3 linked regions of the Lonchura striata genome follow. The main gene of each other region encodes a partner of the protein of the gene in region 3 in a complex. Links are inferred from orthologs where the notes say so. Each region holds a gene or a part of one and is shown on either strand. Other genes may lie near its edges. The genes, in order: SNRPF, SNW1 and SNRNP40.

Region 1 (3,438 bases), on a different chromosome or scaffold from region 3:
CTCTTGCCTCAACCCCATTAATGCCACTGAAGTCTGTGGATCCCTGCAGCTGCCAGGAGGCTTTTGGCTGTGTGGCTGTTGGCTGCTAAGTAGATATACATTTGTCCTTTCTTAATGACCATACAGCCACACTTCAAGCTTCCTGACTCAAAGCAGGAGAATATTTCTGAGGGAAACTGGGGTATAACAGATCGCCACACCTCACTTGCAGTGAAATCTTCCCAGCTAATTCTAAATGTTTTATAAACATGTTTAAAGATGAAACGTATTTAAATAGTCATGACATACATACTGTAAAGTATAGATACTGCCAAGTCTTCCTGTATTTCAGATGGGAAGATAACTTTTAAGGTATTTTTAAAGTCCTTGCTTTTCATTTCAATATTTCCAACTTTCAATTGAACCAATTACCTATTGTTCCTCCAGCATTAGTTTTTCAGACACCAATAAAATATTAACATTTTTTAAAGAGTTAATTTTCCCCATACTAAAACACAACAGAAATAAACATCTTACTACAGAAGTATGAAAAACAAAAAAGAAAAGAAAGGTTTATTTTCAGAAATACAAAACACCTATTCTCTCATTTCTCCATCTTCTTCCTCTTCTTCCACACCTCTGATGTACAAAACATTATTGCACCTGTAAATAGAACAAAGAGTTTCCTTAGCTATAAACATTATCATTTTCCCCACATAAAACAAGCTTTAAACATTTTTCTGCTTGAATGTAGCCTGGCAACAGCCAAATTCTACAGAACAAAAAGCTGCTGTTGTCCTTGTACACCTTTTTCACACAGTACATCAAACTGTGCAACTTCATGAATGTAATAAATGTTTGACAATGCTGTACAAAAAATTTTTTACTTTAGGGTGAACAGTTACAGTCAAGTTTAACTTCCAAGCATGCAAAGTGTTTCCAGCTACAGTGCATTAGTTTACAATGCCAAAGGATTCCCAAATATATAATACTGTGGAAAACAAAAGTATTTTGTTACCACAAAGGAGACAGTAAATACTTATCTAGATATTGCAAAAATCATTTTTCCTCCTCTCAGAAGGGACTTTGATATAGAAGTCACATTCATAGCCTTCCTATAAGAGCTACACTTGGCATCTTAATTAGACAAGAAACACAACATCCACCAGTATAAGCTTTAATGCAAGTGGTGAGGCAATTTAGAGCCTTCCTCCACCATAAATAAATATCCCAATTACCTTATCAAAACTTCACCCAGGTGTCCAGACAACGCACCGTCTATGTACTCCTCTGTGTTTGCAAGCTTGAAAGGAAAATGAGGAAAAAATCAGAAAGACAGCAATAAAAGCGGCTCCGCAAAGCACACGACGGCTCTGCCCCAGCCCAGGGCTCGGCCCCAGCTCCCGGGGGTGGCCGAGCGGCCCCGGTCCCGCTCTGCACCGCGTCCCCACCGCCCCCGGCCCGGCACGCAGCGCCTGCGGCGGGGAAGGTCCTTCCTTAGGCATCACCTCCTTGAGAGCCCCGTCAGGGCAGAGACACCTCCCACTGCCCCAGGCTGCCCAGAGCACACCTCCCACTGCCCCAGGCTGCCCAGAGCCCCATCCAGCCTGGCCTTGCACGCTCCCAGGGATGCGGCACCCACCATTTCTTCCTCCACAACGCCGGGGGCCGGCACCGCCCCGGCACGCCCCCGGCCCCTCACCTGCATGTTCATGTAGCCGTCCACGGAGACGAGGTAGCCCTTGTACTCCATCCCCCACTTCAGCTTCACCATCACCGGTTTCCCCGTCAGCCCGTTCAGGAACGGCTTGGGGTTGAGGGGCAGGCTCTGGCGGGGGAAGCACACGGTCAGCGCCGCCCGCCTCCCGCTCCGCCTCGCCCGGCCGCCTGGGGCCCGTAACGGAGCGGCTCCCGCCCCTCAGCGCCCGGCTCCCGCCCCTCCCGGCTCCCGGCCCGCCCGGCCCGGCTCCCGCCGCTCCCGGCTGCCGCTCACCATGGCGGGAGAAGCGCGGGCCCGGCGGGACCGCTCGTGCGCGCCGCGGGACAAGGGGCGGCGCTGGGAACGGCTCCGCTTCCCGTTCCGGGGGCGCCGCTCTCACCCCCGGCCTCCCACCGCGCCGCGCTCCCATAGGCTGCCGGGCCCCGACGCGCCGAGCCTCAGGCGCGGCCGCCCATTGGCTCGCCGGTGCCGCGGGCCTGTCTCATTGGCTGCCACTTCCCCCTCCCACCCCCCGTGCTAACCAATCGCTGTTGCCGCCAGTCGCGCCGCGGTGGCGCGGCCGTGCGCGGCGCGGGGGGTGAGCTCGCGCCCCGTGCGCGTCCCCGCGCGCTGTGCCCGTGCGCGTGCCCGCGGTGCCCCGCGCGGTCCCGTCCCGTGAGGCGGCGGCGCGCGGCCGCGCCCATCCGTCCGCGAAAAGAAACCCGCGGAGTGGTTCCACACGCAAGGATAGGAAATCTCAGAGGTCAGCGGGCACATTAAGTGCGAATTCCCCGTCAGTGGCTTTTTACCCCCAGGCAAAGATGTTCTTGGGTGTAGAGAGAGTCGCGACACATCAGTGCTGACTTATGTCTTAACCTTTGACAGGCAAGTGTGCTGCACCAACGCCTGTACCGTTTACCGATTGGTCACATCCTCACTAATGTCTTCTACTGCCCGGTGGATAAATTCATCACATGCCACAATGTGCATTTCTGTTCTGCATGCAGCATGTCCCCTTGATCTTCAGTGTATTATTGGGTGCTGAATGTGGGAAACACCATTCAGGAAACTTAACCTTTCAGTAACAGAGCTATTGTGGGTTGTGTGCACTTCACCTTCCAGAAGTGACTCTAGTGCCCTGGTATTGAAAGCAAAACCATTCTTGCCTCCTCAAATCTGCATATTTAAAGCTGTTGATGCAAAAAGCCATCTTCTCCAGGTCCAGACTGTCCTTACACACCGTGAACGTGTAGGAGTGAAACGGATGCAATTGTAGTTCCTGTTCACTAGCATATATCACAAGTGCAGTTACAGAATCAGAATTGTTAGGGCTGGAAGGGACCTCTGAAGACCATCCAGTCAACCCTCCTGCCAAAGCAGGGTCACCTGCAGCAGCTGACATAGGAACATGTCCAAGTGGGTTTGGAATTTCTCCAGAAAGGGAAACTCTGCAACCTCCCTGGGCAGCATCTTCCAGTGCTCTGCCACTTCCAACGTGAAGAAATTCTTCCTCATGTTGAGATGAAACTTCTTGTGACTATATCTAGATGCACATTTGCACAACCATTAGAAATAAGTGTGATTTTATTTTAGGGTGTAGTGGATGGACAGCAGAAACAAGACCAAAATATGCTAATTTTCTTTCTGGTAGCAGGGCTCATTATGGTCCAGCTGAAAGAATAACTAACTTACTTATAAGATTTTTTTGTAAGGAAGTCTGTGTTTAGACTATGAAGCAAAAATATGAACACAATGGGAAA
Region 2 (3,746 bases), on a different chromosome or scaffold from region 3:
GAGACTGAAAATGACCAAGCAGAACACTTCCAAACACGGACAGTGTGCTTATCCCATCTGCAAATGCTCCTTTAAACAGTTTCCGCTATCGGAAGTTTTCCACTGGATGTCCCACATTCAACAATTAGTTGTTAAAGTATTAGCCAGAACTAAATTCAGTCATTCTTCAATTTTTTAAATTTTTCTTTCTGCAACTCTTAACGTAAAAAGAACAGCAATGGCAGTCCAGGAGCACTGGACAAAGGTTATGCTTTGAAAGCATTAACTGCAATTTGCACCTGTTTATGAAGCGGAAAGGAGCCCTTAACAGGCTTTTTGAGATGTGCATTAATTTGTGGCCAAGTGGTGTTGGAAAGTCTTTGCAAACCTTCAGCATCTGGCTTCTTAAAATATTTCTTTATTAACATTAAGAAAGAATAAGCACTAAAATACTAGCTTTAGTACTCAACAGTGTAGGAAGGGAAACCTTCACTGGGTATAATGGAAGTATAATTTTTGACATCATACATATGCAGCATATGATGAAATGCTGAACTTGCAGAAGAACGTTTTCTTTCCGTGAACCACTGGAACTACTGTTTGAAGTACATGGACCACCACAGAACAGTGTTGGATTTATAAAAATGGCACTCAAACATAAATGAGAGCAACATTATTACAAGTTGATGAAATTATGGTATTTGGAAACAACATAGGATCATACATAAACTACTGTAATAAAACTTCAACAGCTTGCTTGTTCCAAGAGCATTGGCTTGTGACTCATCAGAACAGGTCTCAGAAGTTATTGTCAAGGATCACTTCAAACTGCAAGGTTTTTCTGGCTCACAGTGAGAGACTGTACTAAAACTGTTTTATAATCAGAATACATCTGTATTTTTATTCTACCTTTAGCAGTTCCAGTTTAGATTACATTAAACTGGCAAGGGTTACAACTACTAACACACAACATTGTCCAAAATCTTTTAGCCAATAACATACTTAAACAACAAATATTTGGTTATTTTTTTATTTTCCTTCCAACTGTAATAATTTTGTCCCCCAATAGCAGGTATCTTTTTGAACAGAACACACACACAGAACATCTTGTCTCTGATACACACACATTCACTTATTTCAGCTATAATCCAGAATGTGTATTTAACACTAACAGAGAAACAATATGGATGTTTTTCTCAGGGAAACCTTGTGTTCACAGACTGTAAATCCAAAGGGCTACAGATGTATTTCTACATTCCAACACAACAATCTCTGAACAGAAGTAGACATAGACCATCCTGTTTACCATCAAATGCTTTAAGGAATCCAGTAGATTAGAACCTCTCCCAACACAAAGGTTTATCAAGCAGTATGGATAATGCACATTGTAAGGCTTTGCACAATTCTCAGCAACATTCAAGGTGCTCAGAGCTTATTTCTACTCCAGAATTTTTTTCTCCCTTTTAGCAGACACATTACTACTGTATCAATTTAAATATTTACCTCTAGTGCACGAGGTATCCATCCTTTCCGGTAACCATAGGGGGGGGGTTCCCTTCTCGAGGAGACCAGAGCAGCCTGCCTGGATCTCTGAGCTCTTGCTCTTTCTTCTAGTTCTAGCTGATCTTGGGACAGCTGGGTTGGAGCTGGCAAAAAACTGGACACCCATGGACAGCAACCAAAAGAGAATTACATAGAAAGTTAATTCTGGTAACTTCACTCACAGGCACTCAACTATGCTTGACTGAACTTCTTGCTAAGTTAATACTTTCTCGACAAGCACTCTATAGATTAAGAAACAATTTATGAAACTTGAGCATTGCACTCATAAATGTGAGGGCAACTTCTAAGATTCAGTAACTTCGGAGATTACAGTTGCAATGTGTGCTTTCTCAGCATTCTGAAAGATTCCTACAAAAACAAATGCTAAATTCACACGCATTCACATCTTTCTTGAATAGAAGAGTGGCAATGCCCATTTTCCAACAGGAATCCCACATATCACCGGTATTCTTTACACTACTAGGAATAAGAAAGAAATATTATGTTCCTGTGTCTCTAGTCCCAGTGATTCGTTCTTCCTTTCTCTCAAGGCAAACATCCACAGAGATCTGACAAAGACCTCTCTCCTCTACCCCTGACACCTCCCTGCCAAGGGCAAGTCGAACCCCAATTTCTTCACTTCCCCTTTTTTATCTCTTCTTGTCTACACAGCCCTTTTGTGCATTTACTAAGAAAGTATCCAAAGAAACTTGGGATTCCGGTGCAGCCACCGGAACTGCACTCCCATGCCCTGCGAGACACTACAGATCGCAACAAAGACCGCTCGCCCTCTCCGACGGTGAAGAAACCTCGACAAAACCCCACGGACCCAACCGAAGCGGAGGAGCTCCTTCTACCCGCAGTGAACAGGCGAAAGAAGCAGCGCCCTGACCACGGCCAAACCCCCAGGGCTCCCCCGGCCCGACCGGCCCTCGCCGCACTCTCTGCGGCCGCGGCCCGGCCGGCGGGCCCCCTGCCCAGGAGAGGCTGCGGCCCCCCCGCGCACTCCCTAGCCGCGGCCGCTCCCGTCGGCGGAGCCCCGCAGCGCGGCGGCGAATCCCCGGCCCGGCCGGGGGAGCCGCAGCGCCCTCACGGCCCGGGCGGGCCCGCCCGACCCACCTGGTGAGCGCCATCTTGACCGCGCAGGCCGTCCGCCCGGCAGCCGAGGAGCGGGGAGACAGCGACACCTGCACATGCGCAGTGCCCGCAGCGTACCCTGGGAGTTGTAGTCTTCGTGAGGCCACTCGCGGCGCGGTGGCGCATGCGGTAGGCCGCAAGGCGTCCTGGGAGGTGTAGTTTTGCGGTATCCCAGTTTATTTCTTCAGCCGTCCTATTCCGCTCCCCCGCACTATTCACACAGTCTCCAAGTTCAGTAACTTCACAGTTCATCCAGCTGAATATGTCCAAGTAAAAAGTAGAAAATATAGAGCAAGTGGATCAGGATAAAATTTATTCTGATATACCTGCTGCTTAGAAATCGTTGAACTGGGACATGGGAGTGAAGGAAAGAAAAGAGACTGAAAGTGGTGTAAAAATATTGATTGAAAAGAGAAGAATTTCTGCATTAAAAAGGAGTTGTGCTGTCTTTGTTAAATGAGCATACATAACATAGGAGTTCTTTAAATCAAATCAAGAGATACACTCTTTAGAGTACAATTAAAATTTGGAATATGGAACAATATTTCTCAGGGAGTTGTAATACATGGGAACTAAGTGGAGCTTTACATAGGAAAATCTGTTTTCCTATGTAAAGCTATAAACTATTTGAGTTAAAGTGGCAATATATAGCACTATATATAACTGAAGATTACTAATTAAGTTGCTATTGTTATATCACCTCTAGTGAATCAAAGGCAGAAGAGTCCCACTGAGCCAGGCGTTGGTTCATCTAGAAGAGAAATGGAAGCCAGACAGGGAAGAAAAGGGTAGAATGACTAAAGAAACAAACATGGTCTATCAGAGATTTTAAAAATCACACCATAGGAGGCAGGAATACAATAAGACAGAGTAACTGTCTTGCAGTCCTCTAGTCATTTTGTCTGCCCTATCATCTCCTAATCTGAAGGGTGAACTACTCCTTCAGGATAAATTAATCTGCTACAACTTTTAGGACTGGGAAGATTTGGAGGAAGGTAAGGGCAATCCTGTGCAGTCTCTCTATGCCTGAACTCATCAGCTCCAGTGGGAATCAGCTTTTGGCTTAACACTGTGGTAACAGCAGCTCT
Region 3 (3,746 bases):
GACAGTGCCATCGTCGCTGCCCGTGCAGACGAGCTGGGGGCCCCTCCGGGCAGGGTAGCAGGAGTTGACAAAGGACGTGTGGCCCTTGAGCCTCTTGACCCTCTCGCCCGTCTCGCTGTCCCACACAGCCACGGTTTTGTCCGTGGATGCTGAGAAGAGCATGCTGCAGGAACAACCACTGTGAGGGCCCAGCTCCCTTCCCAGTTCCTTTCAGGAACAACCTCCCCTGTTGGTGTTTTGGAGGCGCCTGAAACACTGACTGACACTGGAACAGCTGCATGGATAAACTCCCCTTAATCCCTGCTGTGAATGGTTTTGCTGCCTCCTCAAGCAGCATCTAGGATGAGCACAGCTCAGCAAAGCTCAGCAGCAATGGTGGAACAGCCTTTTAAATTAACCAGTATCTCACTTGCTCTGTCTCCCTCCCCAGTGACTCCCGGGCACCCAACACAAACTTCCCTCTGTGCCCCAAAACTGCATCAATGGCACTGGGGGGGGTCACAGGTGCCCCCAGATCCTTTGCCCACACTACAAGGACTTGGTGTCCATGGACTGAGCACAGGTGACAACCCCAGAATCATTTAGGTTGGAAAAGAGCTCCAAGAACATAAAATCCAAGCTGTGCCTGGTCCCCACCTTGTCCCCAGTCCAGAGCTCTGACTGCCGCCTCAGGGATGGGCACTCCAAACCCCCTGGGCAGTTCCAAGGCCTGAGCCCCTTTCCATGGGGAAATTCCTGCTGCTGCCACCCTGAGCCTGCCCTGGCCCAGCCTGAGGCCGTTCCCTCTCCTCCTGTCCCTGTTCCTGGAGCAGAGCCCGACCCCCCGGCTGTCCCCTCCTGGCAGGAGCTGTGCAGAGCCACAAGGTCCCCTGAGCCTCCTCTTCTCCAGGCTGAGCCCCTTCCCAGCTCCCTCAGGGATTCTCCAGCCCCTTCCCAGCCCCCTCAGCCCCTCCTGGGGCTCCAGCCCCTTCTCAGCTCCCTCAGCCTCTCCTGGGGCTCCAGCCCTGTTCCCTGAGCTGCAGTGAGTCCCTGAGCAGCACAGAGCCCCTGCCCTCACCTGCCATCCGTGTTGTAGTGCAGCTCCATGACAGCCCCGCTGTGTCCCTTCAGGGTGGCAAAGTTGTCACAGTCCCCGTAGACGTTCCAGAGCACTGGGGGACAGCAAGGGACAGGTGAGCACAGGAAAGGCTCGGGAACAGCCCCTGCTGTGCATGGAGCTGATCTTTGGGGATTCAGCAAAGTGGGGATGGACCAGCCCCACTGCTGAGTCCCAGCTGGGACAACTCACAGCAGTGACAAAGCATCGTGTGAGCCCCAGGGCAGAGCAGCTTTAGGGAGCTTGGTTAAGGTGAGTTTATTATGAACAATTATAATTTTTGCCTCAGGAAGCCTAAGCATTAAAACTGCATTTCTGCAGACCTCTGGAAGCCGTGTGCCAGGGACACAGGGCGGTCACAGCTGGCACCCAGCAAGGCACTTTTCCAGCACCATCAGGATGGCACCTGCCAGAGCAGCTGGGAAAAGCTTCCTGCACCCCCATGGGGGAGCAATTCACACCCAGAACCCAGCCAGGTGAGGGCTGAGCTAAAACCCCCCAGCAACAGGGCCTGAGCCCGGGGGACAGCAGGGGACAGCAGTGCCACTCACAGATGAGCCTGTCGAAGCCAGCTGAGGCCAGGGTGTTGCCATTGGGATGGAACTTGCAGCAGTAAACCTCCCCCTCGTGTCCTGACAGCAGCATGATGGGGGCCTGCAGCGAGGAACAGCGCGGGGGGCCCTGGGGGACACCGAGACACCGTGAGGGGACAAGGGGCAAGGCCAGCCTGCCACCCCTGCCGAGCATCTTCACCTTCCCACAGCACATCCCACCAGAATTCCAGCATTACTGAGGCTGGAAAAGAGCTCCAAGGTCATTGAGGCAACCTGGTCCCCAGCTTATCCCCAGCCCAGAGCTCTGAGTGCCACATCCAGGACGTTCCTTGGACACCTCCAGGGATGGCACTCCAAACCTCCCTGGGCAGTTCCAAGGCCAAGGGTGGGCAGCAGCAGGAATTTCCCCATGGAAAGGGGGGGGTCACCCTTTCCATGGGGAAATTCCTGCTGCTGCCACCCTGAGCCTGCCCTGGCCCAGCCTGAGGCCGTTCCCTCTCCTCCTGTCCCTGTTCCTGGAGCAGAGCCCGACCCCCCGGCTGTCCCCTCCTGTCAGGAGCTGTGCAGAGCCACAAGGTCCCCCTGAGCCTCCTTTTCTCCAGGCTGAGCCCCTTCCCAGCTCCCTCAGGGATTCTCCAGCCCCTTCCCAGCCCCCTCAGCCTCTCCTGGGGCTCAGTTCCCTTCCCAGCTCCGTTCCGCGGACAGGCCCCAGCCGAGGGCCTAGAACCTAACACAGGTGCCTCAGCAGTGTCCAGCCCACCACGCTCGTGGCCCTTCCCTGCTCCTGGAACCACGCCTGGCCTCTCCTGTCCCCTCACCTCCCGTCCCACCCCGATCTCCTCCCACCCTCCCCTCACGTTCCCCCGTTACCGCCTGCAGCAGAGCTCCGGCCGCGGGCTGTCCCCCCGCGCCGCCCGTGCCCGGCGCCCCGGGCAGGTCATGGCGGGGCCGCTTGGCGGGCGCGGGGACGAGCGGGAGGTCGGGGCCGGGCGCGGGGGCGGCGGCGGGGCCGGTGGGGCCCGGGGGGGCGGCAGGACCGGGCCCGGGCGCGGGGCCCGGCGCCTTCCGCTTCTGCTGCTCGATCATGGCGGCCGCCGCGCCCCGCCCCCCGCGCCCCATTGGCTGTCGCTGCCGCGGCCGCCGCGCTGATTGGCGGAGCGCCGGGCAGGTCCCACCCCCCGACGCTGCGCCGAGGATGGAGCGGGGAGCGCGGCGCCTTCTGGCGCGCTTCGCTCTGATTGGAGGAAAGCGGTCGCTGGGTGGTATGGGTAACGCTGATTGGCTGCGGGACCATCCCACGGCAACATTGCGCGCTGTGATTGGCGAGGAGCGTGGCCCCTCAGCGTGAGGGGGTGATGGCGGCGCGCTGGTGTTGCTGCCGCGGGTGCTGACGAGCCCCCACCGCCCCGCGGGCTCCGGGAGGAGCCGTCCTGTCCCTCTGCGCCGGTCCAGGTCAGTCCTTCACCGCAGCACTGCGGGTCCAATCCCCGCGCCCCTCAAGGCGCTGAACCCCGGGTGCTCTCTGGGGCTTTTCGGGCGTTAATGAAATTTTTCTTTCCTCAGCATCCTGCAGAGGAGATGCGGTAGCGAGGGTGAATCCAGCTGGCTGTCACGGCGCCTCGGGAGGCGATGGAGCCGCTTCCCGAGCTCTACTCCATCTTCCAGGGCGAGGTGCGGCACGGCTGGCGCGGCCCGGGCCAAGCTCGGGGGGAATTCATTCCGTGGGTTCGGTCGGGATAGCGCGGGGGAGCTCTGGGGATGCACAGCTCTGTCCAGGTGCACAACCTGTGTCCGGGGGCTGTTCATGTGCAGCTGCGGGGGCAGCCGAGGAGAGGCAGTTCCGACCTCTTCTGTCACTGGGTTCCCCACCCTCAGAGCTCGGAATTCCAACAGGAGCAGCACCTGGAGCTGCTGGAGAGAGCCCAGAGGGATCCACGGAGCTGCTGCAGGGCTGGAGCCCCTCTGGAGCCAGGCTGGAGAGCTGGGGGTGCTCCCTGGAGAGGAGAAGCTCCAGGGAGAGCTCAGAGCCCCTGCAGGGCCTGGAGGGGCTCCAGGAGAGCTGGAGAGGGACTGGGGACAAGGATGGAGGGACAGGA

What was found.
Region 1: SNRNP40 (region 3) and SNRPF share a complex: the UniProt entries of both Homo sapiens proteins name them as parts of the U4/U6-U5 tri-snRNP complex. The link is inferred for Lonchura striata from reciprocal best matches to the Homo sapiens genes SNRNP40 and SNRPF.
Region 2: SNRNP40 (region 3) and SNW1 share a complex: the UniProt entries of both Homo sapiens proteins name them as parts of the minor spliceosome. The link is inferred for Lonchura striata from reciprocal best matches to the Homo sapiens genes SNRNP40 and SNW1.

The regions. Positions count from the first base shown.
Region 1 is NC_134607.1:54,491,408-54,494,845, reverse strand, and holds SNRPF (small nuclear ribonucleoprotein F), read right to left. Parts: upstream 2,104-3,438; 5' UTR 1,976-2,103; coding exon 1,973-1,975; intron 1,808-1,972; coding exon 1,682-1,807; intron 1,283-1,681; coding exon 1,218-1,282; intron 643-1,217; coding exon 576-642; 3' UTR 525-575; downstream 1-524. UniProt on the Homo sapiens protein: Plays a role in pre-mRNA splicing as a core component of the spliceosomal U1, U2, U4 and U5 small nuclear ribonucleoproteins (snRNPs), the building blocks of the spliceosome.
Region 2 is NC_134608.1:21,876,593-21,880,338, reverse strand, and holds the start of SNW1 (SNW domain-containing protein 1), read right to left. Parts: upstream 2,727-3,746; 5' UTR 2,655-2,726; coding exon 2,641-2,654; intron 1,637-2,640; coding exon 1,483-1,636; intron 1-1,482. UniProt on the Homo sapiens protein: Involved in pre-mRNA splicing as component of the spliceosome. As a component of the minor spliceosome, involved in the splicing of U12-type introns in pre-mRNAs.
Region 3 is NC_134628.1:6,742,405-6,746,150, reverse strand, and holds the start of SNRNP40 (U5 small nuclear ribonucleoprotein 40 kDa protein), read right to left. Parts: upstream 2,743-3,746; 5' UTR 2,737-2,742; coding exon 2,521-2,736; intron 1,778-2,520; coding exon 1,648-1,777; intron 1,152-1,647; coding exon 1,058-1,151; intron 164-1,057; coding exon 1-163. Other genes in the region: ZCCHC17 (zinc finger CCHC domain-containing protein 17), read left to right, coding at 3,280-3,321. UniProt on the Homo sapiens protein: Required for pre-mRNA splicing as component of the activated spliceosome. Component of the U5 small nuclear ribonucleoprotein (snRNP) complex and the U4/U6-U5 tri-snRNP complex, building blocks of the spliceosome.